Drosophila melanogaster: one gene and its partners. The main gene of each other region encodes a partner of the protein of the gene in region 4 in a complex. Each region holds a gene or a part of one and is shown on either strand. Other genes may lie near its edges.

Region 1 (4,225 bases), on a different chromosome or scaffold from region 4:
CCGCATCTTGCTCTTCCGGATGCCCAAGCACTTAATTAAGTGCGAGAAGAACTACTGTGGACCGCCGCTGCAGACCTGCAAGTACAACGCCACACACCGAGTCCAGGACATGGAGAAGCATCTGAAGGAGTGTGACTACTATCTCCGCAGCATCGAAAACCAGGCGGTGCAGATAGCGCTTCGTAGTCGCATACCGCCCAAACAGGAAGATGGACATGATGTGGACACACCATTTTAGGCTAAGACAAGCAGGCATCCAAATATACCATGTACATATGTGATAGTATATGAACCATAAAATAAAAAGCTTCTTGAAGAAGCATGCACAATATTCGTTTGATTGCATTTATGTTCTGATTAAAATAAGAATCTTAAACTAGAGGAGCAAAAGTTTTGGTATTTACAAGCCTGTTGCTATTGCATTGCACAAAGCCTGGGGTCAAATACATTCGTCTGGCGTTTAAAACATTTGCAGGCACTTTTCCACAACTATTTACAGTCTAAGATTACGTCTAGGACAAGCTACAGCATTACACCATATCGAGGTCCGATTCTGCCGCTTCCTCGTCGATCAGCTTTCGTTTATCCGTTGATTTGGTCGTGGCATCACTTAAATTGGACAGCGGACGCACCTTGCCCAAATTAACCACCGGGCTTTGGGTGTAGAGATAGATGGCGTAGGATACAACCGCGATGGCCAGCGCGGTGTTCATGTAAATGGGTATGGAGAAGAGGAAGTAGCATAGGACTGCCGTGAAGAGCAACTCCAGAGCGCTCGCGAAGGTCTTTAGAATGGAGTTCATGTACTTGAGGAAGAAACTCGTGACAATGCCAATAGCCGCATTGTTAACAATAATGATTAGCACGCTAAAGCGCATAATACTGCCCAGATTCTGCGGACTAAAGGCATCAAGGAGCTCGCCGCGCAGCAAGAGGATGACTGCATTGCAGACAATCGAGTCCAGGTACATGAAGACATTCTGTACAAAGATATTCACATCGGCTCCCTTATCTTTAAGCAGATACTCATTGTAAACGCCCGCCAGACAAGAGCAAATTGTCTGTGCCAGAATGAAGACGGCACTCAGGCTAAAATCGAAGCCGGACATGTTCTTGCCGTGAGCGTGCGTCTCTGCAGAAGTTGTTTTATTATGTGATTGCAGCTGCTGCTGTATGGCTGCGGACTCGCTGTCATCATTCGCATCGCTGTAGAAGCTGCCGAAATCGACCTGCTTCATCATACAGCCGAGTGTCAGCAGTATGAGGGAGATCCATTGCCTTTGCGACAGGTACTTCTTGAAGATAATTTGGAATAGTATGCCCGTGACAACGACACGTAGCTGCAGTAGCAGATAGTAGGTGGTGGGATCGAATGTGGCCAAGTTGACAAAGGCCAAATTGTTGTACAGGCAGTAGAGAAAGGCGGGCACCATGTACAAGCCCAATACATTCCGATCCTTCTGAACATCGCGCACCAGGGAGCGTAGGTTGTTGCTGTGAATGAAATCGCGGTTTAATAGCGAGACAAAGGAGCGCCTCCACTCCTACTCACTCTCGGCAATACAGACAGGTGGAGACTATCAATTTAAAGACCTCGGTTAGCAGCACAACCGTGACGGTATTGTAGCCATAGGAGTTATTCGATTCCTGAGATGCTGTGACAAAGATGCCTGCAAAATAGACAGGAATTAGGGTGCGGCTTTGGCTTGCGTAAAAAGCCTTAATAAGGCAGCTGCATACCCTGTCCTATGAATAGGGACATGTACAACAGGAAGATCACAAATGTGAGCTTGGTGGGGAACAATTCACGCCAATTAGTTGACATTTCTGCGGTCTTCGTACTGCCAGCGTTGCGTTGCTAATGCGAAGAGAACTAAGACTAGCTACAAGTTGCGGCAACCGCAGTTATCAGTACCGTTCCGCTCGTTCGTGACAAGTGGGCCGTTTCTCGGTTTTCTAGGAAGTACAATTTTGAGTTTGTTTCTGTTGCTTTTCCACTGATAAACAAAATATATTTTGGGCCTTTTTTTATCGCTCGCCCGAACAGCTGATTTTAAAGCAGTGCACGCTTTTCAACACTTCAACCCACACAAAAATTGTGGTGTTGCGAAACGCCCTTTTACCACTGCAGCCGAGTTCACGTCGTGGGTCTTTTCGCTTACAATTCGTCAACATGGCAAATCGCGCAAATCGTCATGCTGCTCGCACCGAGGATTCGGATAATACCATTAACTACGTCCAATGCGACGGACTGGTGAGTAGTGCTGTTGGCCAAAAGACCTGGCCGAGATTGGCCCGTGGGAACCGGCGCGAAAGCCGGAAAAGTTAATGCCACGCGCTGTCTCAGAAATTTGCGTGCTTTGTGTGTGTTTGTATGGGTGTTCGTGAGGACATGGGCGTAGAGCTATAAGGAAAAGGGGGCCGGTCTCTTCATTACCATAGCACAAAAAACTTCAGTCAAATGTTTTCTTCAGAGAAACTATTAAAAGAAAGTCCGAAATATATCTACTTTCCACGCCCCTGTTCAAATGCAAATAGTTGTCTGTCGCTAATTGATTTTGGAACATAATTACTACGATCACTTTACCTTGCAGGCCGTCATGAAGATGGTGAAGCACTGCCATGAGGAGTCGAGCAACATGGACCTCGCCCAGGGCGCCCTGCTCGGTCTGGTGGTAGACAAGTGCCTGGAGATCACCAACTGCTTCCCGTTTCCCAAGAGCGGCGATGAGACCATGGACGAGGAGATGTACCAGCTGACCGTGATGCGTCGCCTGCGTCGCGTCAACGTAGATCATCTCCATGTGGGCTGGTACCAGAGCTCCGACGTGGGCAACAGCCTGTCAATGGCTCTGTTGGAATCGCAGTACCACTACCAGACCAGCATTGAAGAGTCCGTCGTTGTCGTCTACGATACGCAGAAGTCATCCCGCGGATTCCTGTGCTTGAAGGCCTACCGCCTTACTCCGCAGGCCATTCAGATGTACAAGGATGGCGACTTCACTCCAGAGGCATTCCGCACCCTGAAGGTCGGCTACGAGAACCTCTTCGCCGAGATTCCCATTGTGATCAAGAACTCGCCGCTGACCAACATTATGATGAGCGAGCTGAACGAGCTGCTGCCCGAGGACAAGGGGCACAACTTCCTGGACCTGGGCACCGCCACCGTATTGGAGAACCAAATGCGTAGCCTGATCGAGCGCGTCGACGAGTTGTACCAGGAGGCAGTGCGCTATAACAAGTACCAGCAGGTGGTCTTCAAGCAGGATACGGTACGTAGCAATATAATTAAATATGTAAAAATTCCTAATCGCTTTCCTTGCATTTATATTTTTTAGGAGAAGCACCGTGCTCTGGCTAAGCTGGCCGCCGAGAACGCCGTTCGCACATCGAAGGGAGAGCCCACGGTGCCAGAGGAGGAAGTGATCAAACAGTTCCGCCCCATGACTGCGCCCAACCGCCTGACGGCCACCATAACCTCTGGCCAGATCAATACCCACGCCCAGCATATCGCACAATTCTGTTCGCAATCGCTGGCCAAACTCTTCATCACGGAATCGCTGCAAATTGCCAAGGAAGCAAAGGAAACCAAATAGATTAGCTAATGTTAAGCGTTTTTTAAGCTGAGGCAACAACATTCACTACCCACAAACATAGCAACTGCACACACAGACGTCGAAAATAAACCAAACAAGCGATGAGTGGGCTTGGAAGCGAACTGCCAGCTGATTTCTTCTTTATTGTACTCTCCATTTGCTCAATAGAATGGCCAATTCAAACCGCCCCAAAAAAAGAAAACCACCACCCGCTATGCAGCCAAAAATTGGTACTGCTTCTGCGCACGCCGGATGTTTGGTTTCACTTCTCGATGAGACTTTCCGGGGGAGTGTTGCTGCCACTGACGACATCGACGCACTTTTCACACCACCCCACAAGCAGCTGCTTATCATTTGGTTTGTTCTTTTCGCTTCGCCTTTTCGCTAACCAGCTTCAGTTAGCCTAACTAACTAAATTACTAACCCGATGGCAAAATGCTGTCCTACGACCTCAACGAACGCCTGCTAACCGCCGTACAGAGCGGAGATTTCGAGCAGGCTCTGGGCTGCATCATGCAAGGTGCCCAGGCCTCGTATGTATCGCCCACTTGCGGACGCACTGCCGTGGGCACGGCGGCCATTCTGGGCGATGCCGAACTGTTGGAGCTGCTGCTTCAATCCTGCGAGGA
Region 2 (3,733 bases), on a different chromosome or scaffold from region 4:
GCGTATCCTGCTCGGTCCCCGCCTCAGTGCTTTCCTCGGTGCGGTATGCGAATAGACGGGGATCAGCCCGCAACGGAAGTAGACCCATTCGATGGGCAAGTACCTCGTCCTGGATGATCGAGGTGTTGTTGTATATGTACACCTTTTCGATGGCCATGCTGGGCACATCGCTGAGCATCAGGCGACGGAAGGCATTTGCAATGGCGGGATACACGCCAATCAGATCGAACTCCAGGCCGTCTTCGTCGTTTCTAGAAGTGAACACCAATTGTTAATCGACTCGTAAGATTCTAATTTCTATTGAGATTTACCTGACGATTTTGATGTGCAGCTTTTCCTTGAAAGCCTGAACGGAAAATACATCGTCCGCCAGTCCATAGTCCTGCGGATCCTGCTTCACCCGATACTCCTCCATGTACAGAAGCGGCTCCTTGCGATTTTTGCTTGCCATTTGCCCCGGTGTTTTTATTAAATAATTTAACAAAATTGAACCGCACGTGTTGGAATCAATAAGACCGCCTTCTAATACCAAAATATACCAAACTAACTAACAAACTAACTAATATACTAAATAAATATACTTTATGTACTAAATAAATGCTGTTTCGCCGTGACTGGCTGAATAGGAAGAAGCAGCAGGACACCGGCGATATTTTTATTTCTCCAGAAGATTTACGTAAAGCCTTCAAATTTCTGAAACCGGGCGTAAGATGTCCCGCTCCCTGCAACGCTTAGTGGGCAGCTGTCGTCGCTGGGCACAACAGCCCGCAATTCGTCATTATGCCGCTCCCGCAGATTCCACTAAAGGCAAGGGTCCGATCTCTTGGAGAAGTCTGGCCGTCATTGGAGCCCTTGGAGCCGGAGGAGTGGGCTTCATGCTGTACGTGAAGAGCGAGAAGGATGAGGCGAGAATGAAGGAGCGTCAGCGGCAATTGGGAAAAGCAGCCATCGGCGGCAGTTGGGAATTAGTTGATTCGCAGGGAGCTGTTCGCAAATCGGAGGACTTCTTAGGCAAGTGGCTGCTCATCTATTTTGGCTTCACCCACTGCCCGGATATTTGTCCCGATGAGCTAGAGAAGATGGCCGCCGTCGTCGATGAAGTTGGTAAGTAGAGCCTGACTATTTCTTCCAAACCCAAAAAAAACCATGTTTCTCAAACCTTCACAGAAAAGTCCCCGCAAACGCCAGCAGTGCAGCCCATCTTTATCACCGTTGACCCAGAACGTGACTCCAAAGAGGTGGTGGCCAAATACGTAAAAGAGTTCTCCCCCAAACTGCTGGGACTCACGGGAACCGTCGAACAAATCCGCAAAGTGTGCAAGGCCTTCAGGGTTTATTTCAGCGCTGGACCGCGGGACGAGGACAACGATTATATTGTGGATCACACCATCATCATGTACCTGGTCAATCCCGATGGCGAGTTTGTCGATTACTACGGCCAAAATCGGGACAAGGACCAGTGTGTGGCATCCATTTTGGTGAACATAGCCAAGTGGAATTCAATGAACAAAAAGGGATGGTTCAGCTAGGCTGGCTAAGCTAGGCAAATGTTGTTTCGTTGTATTTACTTAATGTATGGCATAAAATATGGTTTTTACTTGATGTATATCAAGTTTTAAATCCAAATTTTCGTTTATATTGGCTATACCTTAAGTTCTAGATTGTAAAAATTTCTGGTTGTTCAAAATAAACTTGATTAACGGTATTTTTTAGATCCCCCTGGTATATCGAAGTGAGATTTTGACTAGGCCACGGTCACACTGCTCTTTTGGCGTGTAGTGCTGCGTGGATGTTGTTGCAAAAATATTCGTTTTCTCGCAACAAATAACAATATAATACAAAATGGTGCGTGCCTGGTCAATGACTACACAGTTTGCATTATTCCGGATGGGTTTCTTTAGAATTTACCCGAAATTACAACTATTTGCAAAGTGTGAAAGTCGTGTGAAATTCCGGACCAAACATAACCTTAAAAGCGGCCTAAATTGTTGCTAAAAATTCGTATTATTCTGTCTTTTATAGCGTCCGTTGATGCTTCAGGGCCACGAGCGTTCCATAACGCAAATCAAGTACAACCGCGAGGGCGACCTGCTCTTCTCCTGCTCCAAGGATCAGAAGCCCAATGTGTGGTACTCGCTGAACGGAGAACGTTTGGGCACCTACGATGGTCACCAGGGTGCGGTCTGGTGCCTGGATGTGGACTGGGAGAGCCGTAAGCTCATCACCGGCGCCGGTGATATGACCGCTAAGATCTGGGACGTCGAGTACGGCACCGTTATCGCCTCCATTCCGACCAAGTCATCGGTGCGCACCAGCAACTTCAGCTTCTCGGGCAACCAGGCAGCCTACTCAACGGACAAAGCGATGGGACAGAGCTGTGAACTGTTCCTCATCGATGTCCGCAACGCCGATTCCTCGTTGTCGGAGCAGGAGCCCACACTCCGCATCCCGATGACCGAGTCCAAAATTACGTCGATGTTGTGGGGTCCTCTGGATGAGACCATCATCACAGGTTGGTGTTTACCCGATAATCTATTATGAAAACCGTTTAAAACCCGTATTTCCAGGTCACGATAATGGCAACATTGCCATCTGGGACATCCGTAAGGGTCAAAAGGTGGTTGACTCTGGCACGGATCACAGCGCTGGCATCAACGACATGCAGTTGAGCAAGGATGGCACCATGTTTGTGACCGCCTCCAAGGACACCACCGCCAAATTGTTCGATTCGGAGTCCCTGATGTGCCTCAAGACCTACAAAACGGAGCGTCCAGTAAACTCGGCGGCCATCAGCCCAATCATGGATCATGTCGTGCTGGGCGGCGGTCAAGATGCCATGGAGGTGACCACTACGTCTACGAAGGCTGGCAAGTTTGACTCGCGCTTCTTCCACCTGATATACGAGGAGGAGTTCGCCCGACTCAAGGGCCATTTCGGACCCATCAACAGTTTGGCCTTCCATCCGGACGGCAAGAGTTACGCCTCGGGCGGAGAAGATGGTTTCGTGCGTGTCCAGACATTCGATAGTACATACTTTGAGAACATCTTCGAGTAGTTTGTATCCAGTAGTGATTTAGTAGGATCAGAGCCGGTGGACTTAACATAACCATTTCACCGGCGACATGTTCGTTTGCTTAGGGAACTTTCAAATATACGCGAGGACGAAACGAAACGGATCGCGTCGTTTATTTTTATAACATCAAAGGAGTGGAAAGAGGTACAACATGATTATATTCGAGTAAATGGTGTGCCATGTGTAACCTAAAAAAAGGAACGCTTTTTTTGCTTGAGAACCACAGGCTGACCCTGCATGGCCGCCCACTGAGCCGGTGTGGGCAGGCAGCCCGGCGGAGGAGGCGGAATGACGACATTTCCGTTGGAATTTGTCCTCACCTCGGCCCGTGAGTCCAAGTGGAGGACCTGTGCTGCAGCTGCTCCTGCCGACGTACTGGGACCAGCAAGTCCGAAGCCACTGCCATGTGTCATACCGTAGTTGGGCTGCCCGCTGAAGGGCATCTGCTGTTGCTGGTGGCTGATCATGCCGTAATACTGATTCTGGCTGGGCGGAGCACCTCCTCCTTGTGGATAGCCATAGGCACCAGCACCGGTGCCGCCGTTTCGCTGGCTTTCTTCATACGTTGGCGGAGGAGCTCGCTAGAAGTCGCAAAACTTTAGATGGCGACTGGTATTTGATAATCAAATTAACTTATTACCATGGCCATGTCATCGCCGG
Region 3 (3,384 bases), 7.5 Mb from region 4:
CATTGGCTTTAGCTACAAGTTGAAGCCCTTTTTTCATGGAATGGACAAGTTTTTGCAGGTCATATTCAAACGGGATCTTTTCACACTCTTCGACTATTACAGTCATAAGCTGTTGTCGTGTTTTAGGTCCCTTTTTGCCACCTTCTTCTTTAAGTAGGTCCACAAATTTTAAATGGGGTTCAGATCAGGACTCTGAGGGGGCGTATCGATCACTTTACCACAGTTATAAGGGCGCCAGGTGCGTACATTGCACTCTTTATGTTTCTGATCATGTCCTCTTAAAATATAAAATTTGGCTTGTTGTTGCTAACTAGACCAAATTTTTCTGCACCGGCCTTCAAATTTGTTTTTTAAGATTCCTAGATATTGCACGGCATTTATTGTGCTCTAAATTAAGGCTAGTTTTCCCACTCCATGGCTGGTGATACAGCCACAAACCATCAGTGACATTTTTCCAAATTTTATCGTTGGAATGATATTTTGTTTTTCTAGCGCACTCAGCGGTTTGCGCCATACTCTGCTTGGCCCGTCGTTATAAAAGAGCATAATTTTTGTTTCGTCACCAAATATGACGTCATCCCAGTACTCTTCTGGATGATCCACCTTGTTCACAGCGAATTAATGACGCTTTTCCATATTGGCATCTGATAGCAAAGGATTTTTCCTCGCAACTCTTGAAGAGTATCTATGGCGTAGGATGACTTGGCGCACAGTTTCGTGTGACACAGTTAGGTGACACTCTTGCCTGATATCCAGAGCAAGTGATCTGACCGGGGGTTCGCAATCTCTATTCGCATAATAAAGCGGTCTACACGCTTTTTAATTTTAATTTTCCGCCCACCACCACTCTTAGGTTCAAGCCTGTCCTCTTTTTCCGAGCCTTTTAAAAAATAGTAGACGGTCTTACGGGATACAGAAAACATTTATACTTATTCTGGAAAAGATTTTCCCAACTGGTGGTTATAGTTTATTAATTGGGTAACTTCAAAGTTTATCTCTTTCCAGGCATTTTATTAAATTTAATAATTCGCTTTAAGCACGTTTGATCAGCAAAATTTCACAAGCAAGATTGAGTAGTAGAATGTAACCGACATTTTGTTATTGATCCGTTATGTTAAGAATGAGCAGCGAGCAATGAAATTCACGGAAAGCGTTCCGTTATTGAGTGGGCATCATTTGTGTGGCTGTTGTTGTTGTTGTATAGTTTCTGGAAACGAAGTAAGGATGAAATAATTGAGTGAAGGTGAGGAATAGAAGAAAAGCATCGCGAAGGCGACGCTTGAGTAAATTAGTCTGCTTAGAACGACAGAAGAAACAACACGCAGGCGACTTGATGTGCTGGACAATATGGACGCTGAAGTAAATGAAAAGTCGCGCTTGGCATCTCCGACATATTCAAATTTGAATAGTATTTGATTAACTAACGCTAGCCACCGGTTTTACATCGATAAAACGATAGGCCACGCACGACCGCACCGATAGCTCCAAAAGCCATCAACCCCCACCCGCACTATCGATAGGCCCTTTTCTTGCATCCCTAAAACATACGCGCAGCGTGGCTGAATAGAAATTATTGCGGAAATTTTCCTTGCAAATCTTGGCCACCGAAAATTACCATGTCGGCTCTCAATCTGACCGTGCGCGTGCACCCGGTGGTGCTTTTCCAGGTGGTGGACGCCTTCGAGCGGCGGAACGCGGACTCGCACCGCGTCATCGGCACCCTGCTCGGCTCTGTGGACAAAGGTGTGGTGGAGGTTACCAACTGTTTCTGTGTGCCGCACAAGGAGCACGATGACCAGGTGGAGGCAGAGCTGAGCTACGCCCTGGACATGTACGACCTCAACCGCAAGGTGAACTCCAACGAGAGCGTGGTAGGCTGGTGGGCCACCGGCAACGACGTTACCAACCACAGCTCGGTGATCCACGAGTATTACGCCCGCGAATGCAACAACCCGGTTCACCTCACCGTGGACACTTCGCTGCAGGGCGGACGTATGGGTCTGCGTGCTTATGTCTGCATTCAACTAGGAGTTCCCGGCGGCAAGAGCGGCTGCATGTTCACGCCCATTCCTGTCGAGCTGACCAGCTACGAGCCGGAGACATTTGGGCTCAAGCTGCTTCAGAAGACCGTAGGCGTTTCGCCCGCTCACCGTCCCAAGACCGTTCCGCCAATGCTGGACCTGGCCCAAATCTCGGAGGCCTCCACGAAGCTGCAGTCCCTGCTGGATCTTATTCTCAAGTACGTTGACGACGTGATCGCTCACAAGGTAACCCCCGACAACGCCGTCGGACGCCAGCTGCTAGACCTTATCCACTCCGTGCCGCACATGACCCACGAGCAGTTCACTCAGATGTTCAACGCCAACGTACGCAACCTTCTGCTGGTCATCACGCTCTCCCAGCTCATCAAAACCCAGCTGCAGCTTAACGAAAAGCTCACCTTCCTGCCCACCGCCTAGAACGACGGCGTTTGTTGAAGTGGTAATATCTACTAAGGGTGGCATTGTAAACTGATTGTGTTTTTTATCAATGGGGGTCTACGTAATAAAGTGCTCTGATCGCCAAAAAAAAAAACCAAAACTTGTATCGATTACTCTGGTCAGAATGACATTCCATACTAAAGAAAATATATATGGGATTATCTTTTTTATAACTCAATTGAAGAATCAGCATGAATCCTGTGACACCTACACTAAACGACCATGTGGCGTTTGTAGGAGCATTCGAATCTACTGAAGACTCTTAAACACAACAGTATTCATCACCAGGAACAAAATAAATGCATGTGCAACTGAAAATTTAGCACCCAACTGCTAAAACAAAATGTTGTGTTTCAGTCTTTGGTGAGCTTCACTATTCTATAGGGTTTCAGGGAGTCGCATCGGTGCTGGGTTTATTGTAAGAATAGTAATATTTATATTCTTTAATATCAAACTTTGATGATCGTACCTTCGGCACACAAAAGTTATAATATCAAATTTTGTGACGAAATATGACAACACATTCTATTAAAAACTAGTTTCTTACATTTTATAACCAGCACCTCGTTGCATCATATGCGTTACTTAACTTTCAATTGTTTGGTAGCACCAGGATAAACTTGAGCTACGCCTACACTTTTCTGTGCAATCTGCATCCTTAATCTTCTAGCATTTATAGTTCATGAGATCTTGACGTTCATGCGGACAAACATGGCCAGATCGACTGCGCTGATTCTTGATCCTGGTGAAGAATAAAAGGTACTCTAAAGAGCATAAAAAAACACACTTTTCATATGAAAGAAGGACACAAAGGGGCTCCAAGATTTCCCCGTATGCCTTAATATATAAATTAATTAAAAAAAAAACTTTTCATATGAAAGTTTGTGTGGCCAATTTAAATATA
Region 4 (4,584 bases):
CCTGCAGGCACACACACAGGCACACATGTTGATTTAGCAAACAAAATGTTTTAATTGAATAACACTTTGGTGTTTCACTGCTGCTTACTGGCAAGATCAAGTGCCTTTCCGGCCAACTGTGCGTATACTTGATGTGCACACATATACATATGTATGTGCTGCATTGTGAATCTGTGCACTGCCACATAATGGACCGACTTTATCAATCAAATTTGCCGCAGGCAGGGAATTAAAATTAATCGGTTTCAATTTTCATTTGCGTAAATTCCCTAAATATTTTCACACACTTATTTCACACCCAGGCATCATCATTTGCTCATCCTGTCTGGGGAAGAAAGGGAGTGCAAGCCTATCCATGCAAATTGAATAGGTCTAAATTCAATTTGGCGCTGAACAAAAAGAAATTGGCGGACGGAGAAACAAAAACAAAAATGCGCAAAACATTTTGGTAATTTAGTTGAGCGATTTGCATTTCCGTTGGGGAATAATTTCTGCACTTTTGTGCTCACTGACTGCCCAAATTGAATTGCCAAATAACAAAAAAGGCAGGATGCATATGAAATTCGAGCACATATATGAATTTAATTAAATGCTGTTGAATACGAAAACATTTTGCTTAAATTGTCGCACGCCAAGCACCACAGCAGCATCAGAATTTGCATTGATTGATGCCGTGTTCGGTGATTTATTGATCCTGAGGTTTGTCACCCAAACAGCCCTTCACCCATTTCAGCCCCAGTTCCACTCCCCCGCAATTATTGTGATTGTCAGTCGGTAATGGCGGGGGATGTTCTGCACAATGCATATTTATTTAGCCGGGTTTCATTTTGTATTTCTTGGAACCGCAGTGATTGATGTGGCCATGTTATCCTCAAAATAACTGTGACTGCACCCGGTCACCCGGTCCGTTGTTCACTGACATGTCAAGTGATGGCTCCGTTCATATGTTGTGTTTGGTCAAAAACTCAATTTAAATTGCATTTGTGTTCACTGCGCATCTGTCAGCATGTGTCGGCTTGTCTCGTCCGTCGACGGATCCCCTTGTTCGGAGAACTATTAGTTGAATAAATTCGTGAGGGCGTTAGTTATCGTTGGAGTTACTCAAGGGATCGCTGGACTCCTCCTCCTCATCGCCGTCGGAGTCGAAGGCGTTTTCCGGAACGTCATACAGACGGATCATCGGCTTGTTGGGATCCTTCATGATCAGATACTTTCCATCCGGTTGCCTCATCACAAGGTCAATTAGGCAACGCAATACTCCCCAGGCATTGTCCATGTTCAGGTTGATTTGGGTGGCGAACTCCTGCGGCTTGAATTGCTGTGTGCCAAGGATCACGTGACGCAGGTGATCACGCGGATTCATCCTGGACACATAGCCTAACTTCAGTTGATCGGAACCAGCCAGCACAGCCTCAACGGTCCATCGAGCTAGCTTACAAGCATTGTTGCGCAACTCGGAGGCCAAGACTGCACCGCGCTGGGTGTCCAACTTCTGGCGCCACTCCACACTGTTGGTCACCTTGGAGTCCCATTCATTCAGCGCCTTGATCGAGAGGAACTGCACGTCCCCATTGGGTCCTTGGATAACCCCATTGTGCTTGCAGCGAGCAATCAGCACCACATCGTTGCCCAGATCCCACTGACGGTAGCGATAGCCAATGGAGGCAAGATCCACGCCTGGCTCCTCGAACGGATTGGGCTCCTCAAACATGAAACGTGGCTCTTGGTCGCCAATGCGAAGAACCTTTTAAAAATAAATAACATAAGATTTAAAAACGTACAATAACAAATAACATAAATTGAAACCTACTGTAAACCTACCTGCTGGCTAAAGTTGTGATTAATTAGAGTGGCCTCCATTGCCAAGCTATGTGCCGAATTGATGGAACCCTCCTCATCCATCGGAGGTTCTACTGAAGTCTCGTTGACAGTCAGCAAATCAAATTGATCATTATATCTCTTATCTAAGAACACCTTAGTGCCCAATTTCTCGACTACCACATCCCAAGAGTAATTGGAGCGTGTGCAGCACATTATGGTGGACAAGATTTCGTCGGTGGCAAAGACATTGCCCATGGTCCTCGAAAGACGACGAATAACCGGATCATCCGTGGTCGTCACGGTGTGCACAACACGATCCATCTTTTGCAATGGTTTTTCATTGCGTAAGTTGACTCGATCGTATAACTTATCATAAAATTCCAGCCATCCGCAGGTGGCAATGTCCTTACCATCTTTAATATTGGGAAGTGCCAGCTTGAGAAGGCGTGGAAAATCAATCTCCTCGATCGAAACCCAATCCGATTGCACCATCACTGAGCTCTCGCGGATTCTGGTGGGAGCATTGCGACCGAATCTGCGACCCATATTCTGCGTGTTGCGTGTATTGCGACCCTTTCCGTACTTGGTGGTACTGGCAGTTGCGCCTCCAGCCGTGGATCCCCCGAGACTTGCTATATTCGGAGTGCCACGCCCCGTGCGACCCCTGCTCCTCACATTGTTGCGCATATTGGGTCTATAGCGTCCCCGCTGATAGGGCTTGGTGGCCTTCGATCCAGTGGTGTCCACCAAATGGAAGGTGGAGTCATCGTCCTCGTAGAAGTATGCGTACTGACTGTTGTTGCCAAAGGTCGAGGCGTATTTACTGGGGAACTTCTTCTCGGGCACCATCGCAGTCCAGTCGCAGATCTTGCCCAGGCGATCACTTTTGCAGAACGGCTGGTAGGGCACATCCAATTCGGGTACCTCGCAAGGACCCCAGCCGTGCTCGTTGTACTCCACATAGGGCTTGATAAAGGGTGCGTAGTTGGACATAATCACGCCGAAAGATGTTTAAATAACCAAGAGCAAGTATTTACATTTATGTGATCCGGTTTTGTCGAGGTACAAATTACACTGAGCTGATTTCGTATGGCCGGCTTGACAGCTTGGGAAAATTTTCCAAGCCCTACGTTTGGATAATGTTATAATATGAAAAAGGCGGTTTTATCCATTAAGGAAATAACCGAATATCCAATCTTTAAATAATTTTTGATAGACAACTAAAAAGATTTCTTCAAAAGCCTATAGTAAGTAGATTGAAGCCTATTGTGAGAAATCAAAAGATACCAATTCCTCACAATAAAAGCTCAGTCTTATTTGTATTTCTAGTCACACCGAAACCCTATAAACTACACAAAGTGAGAAGTAAGACGTTTGGAGAATGAATCTTAGGAGGACGCCCTGCCCCCAATTAAACACCACCGCAACCACAATGAAGAAATGTGTAATTGCCTGTTCGTCTTTCGGTTCTCCGTCAACGTCGTGCTGCTCTCATTGGCCACGATTATTCTCATCCTCCGCATGGTGAGCTGATCCAGGATGGGCGCGGGGATCCCCTTCCAGCCGACAAATTCTTGTTTCTTATTATCTTTTATAAAAAACCCTCACTAAGCGCACAAATAAATGTTTGTTGAGCTGTGGAAATGGTACAGGAAGCGGGGTACTGTGACGGGATTATCACTTGACGACGCATCTAAGCTCACATCGACATGACTCCATTCATATGACTCCAACTCCAGCACCATTGTTCTGACCCAAGTATCAGGAAAGCAAAGGAACAACAGCGGAGTGCACTACAATGGGACGAGTGTCCTGTGTGCTGGATCTGGTCAACTTGGCTCAGTCCTCACTGTGTTCCGGTTCGGTTTCCTTATTCTTGGCTGGGAGCACCTTACAACAATCTCGTTAAGCGTAAAGGCCAAATTATAGTAAAACTAACAGAAGGCAAAAGGTAATCACATAAAAAGCTTGTTAGATAACAACGTGTGAGGCGGCGAAAAAGGAAGCGGACATCCTGCACTCCGGCTCATACCCAAAAAGCAACATGTCGAGCGTGTGAATGTGCCTGAATGTGTGGAAAATGATATGGGTGCGAGCGGGATGACAGTGGGAGTGCGGTGCCTCCGCCCCTCTTCCAGCACCCAGATCCTGAGCTAAGCTTTGTCAAGCGACAGGGTGTCATGTTGATGTGTATGTCACTGGCAGCTGCTGCTTACATGGCCCGGCTCCAGATTCCCTCGCACTTCTCTGTTGATACACTGCGAGAATATGAAGAGATAATGTCAAATGTAAGAATAGAAGACCAAGAATGCATACCAAGAATATAATAATGGGTTCTGTGGAGCAATAACAATGGGAACTTATTTTGACTGAAATAATTCCTATTTTACCATTGAATTGATTTCAGTGTAGCCATAAGCCGTGGATGAGTGTGCGTCTGAGTGAGTGTATGTGTGTGTGGATTATAATTGCCATGCGGCTGTCAGTGACTGCAGGCGGCGCCTAACTGCACACAGCTGCAGATGTGCGGCTCGTGTTGCAATATCATTTTTAATGCAAACCGCATGCCACATTATGCAGCTGCATTGCCACGTCACCGCTGCGGTTTCTCCATCCCCATCCGCCTTCCGCTTTCCAACCTCCGGATTTACCCTCTCATCTCCAGCTCATCTGCAATCGCTCCTGCCGCTGAAGCTTTTCTTCTGCCACTGCCGGTCTTGTAGGAAAAAGCGGTAGCGGCTTGGTGAAAGGAACACAGCCAAG

Evidence for each region.
Region 1: eIF3d2 (region 4) and eIF3h share a complex: the UniProt entries of both Drosophila melanogaster proteins name them as parts of the eukaryotic translation initiation factor 3 (eIF-3) complex.
Region 2: eIF3d2 (region 4) and eIF3i share a complex: the UniProt entries of both Drosophila melanogaster proteins name them as parts of the eukaryotic translation initiation factor 3 (eIF-3) complex.
Region 3: eIF3d2 (region 4) and eIF3f1 share a complex: the UniProt entries of both Drosophila melanogaster proteins name them as parts of the eukaryotic translation initiation factor 3 (eIF-3) complex.

What each region holds. Positions count from the first base shown.
Region 1 is NT_033779.5:5,050,684-5,054,908, reverse strand, and holds eIF3h (eukaryotic translation initiation factor 3 subunit h), read left to right. Parts: upstream 1-1,825; 5' UTR 1,826-2,173; coding exon 2,174-2,254; intron 2,255-2,594; coding exon 2,595-3,272; intron 3,273-3,338; coding exon 3,339-3,596; 3' UTR 3,597-3,716; downstream 3,717-4,225. Other genes in the region: CG14036 (uncharacterized protein), read left to right, coding at 1-238; senju, read right to left, coding at 531-1,494, 1,553-1,670, 1,741-1,825; CG9121 (uncharacterized protein), read left to right, coding at 4,032-4,225. UniProt on the Drosophila melanogaster protein: Component of the eukaryotic translation initiation factor 3 (eIF-3) complex, which is involved in protein synthesis of a specialized repertoire of mRNAs and, together with other initiation factors, stimulates binding of mRNA and methionyl-tRNAi to the 40S ribosome.
Region 2 is NT_033779.5:4,965,803-4,969,535, reverse strand, and holds eIF3i (eukaryotic translation initiation factor 3 subunit i), read left to right. Parts: upstream 1-1,760; 5' UTR 1,761-1,842; coding exon 1,843-1,845; intron 1,846-2,022; coding exon 2,023-2,512; intron 2,513-2,567; coding exon 2,568-3,055; 3' UTR 3,056-3,169; downstream 3,170-3,733. Other genes in the region: Polr1C (RNA polymerase I and III subunit C), read right to left, coding at 1-251, 312-451; Scox (synthesis of cytochrome c oxidase), read left to right, coding at 711-1,104, 1,168-1,529; CG34125 (uncharacterized protein), read right to left, coding at 3,262-3,654, 3,714-3,733. UniProt on the Drosophila melanogaster protein: Component of the eukaryotic translation initiation factor 3 (eIF-3) complex, which is involved in protein synthesis of a specialized repertoire of mRNAs and, together with other initiation factors, stimulates binding of mRNA and methionyl-tRNAi to the 40S ribosome.
Region 3 is NT_033777.3:4,712,318-4,715,701, reverse strand, and holds eIF3f1 (eukaryotic translation initiation factor 3 subunit f1), read left to right. Parts: upstream 1-1,519; 5' UTR 1,520-1,616; coding exon 1,617-2,459; 3' UTR 2,460-2,820; downstream 2,821-3,384. UniProt on the Drosophila melanogaster protein: Component of the eukaryotic translation initiation factor 3 (eIF-3) complex, which is involved in protein synthesis of a specialized repertoire of mRNAs and, together with other initiation factors, stimulates binding of mRNA and methionyl-tRNAi to the 40S ribosome.
Region 4 is NT_033777.3:12,192,139-12,196,722, forward strand, and holds eIF3d2 (eukaryotic translation initiation factor 3 subunit d2), read right to left. Parts: upstream 2,874-4,584; 5' UTR 2,815-2,873; coding exon 1,822-2,814; intron 1,745-1,821; coding exon 1,082-1,744; 3' UTR 565-1,081; downstream 1-564. Other genes in the region: CG43450 (uncharacterized protein), read left to right, coding at 3,203-3,349. UniProt on the Drosophila melanogaster protein: mRNA cap-binding component of the eukaryotic translation initiation factor 3 (eIF-3) complex, which is involved in protein synthesis of a specialized repertoire of mRNAs and, together with other initiation factors, stimulates binding of mRNA and methionyl-tRNAi to the 40S ribosome.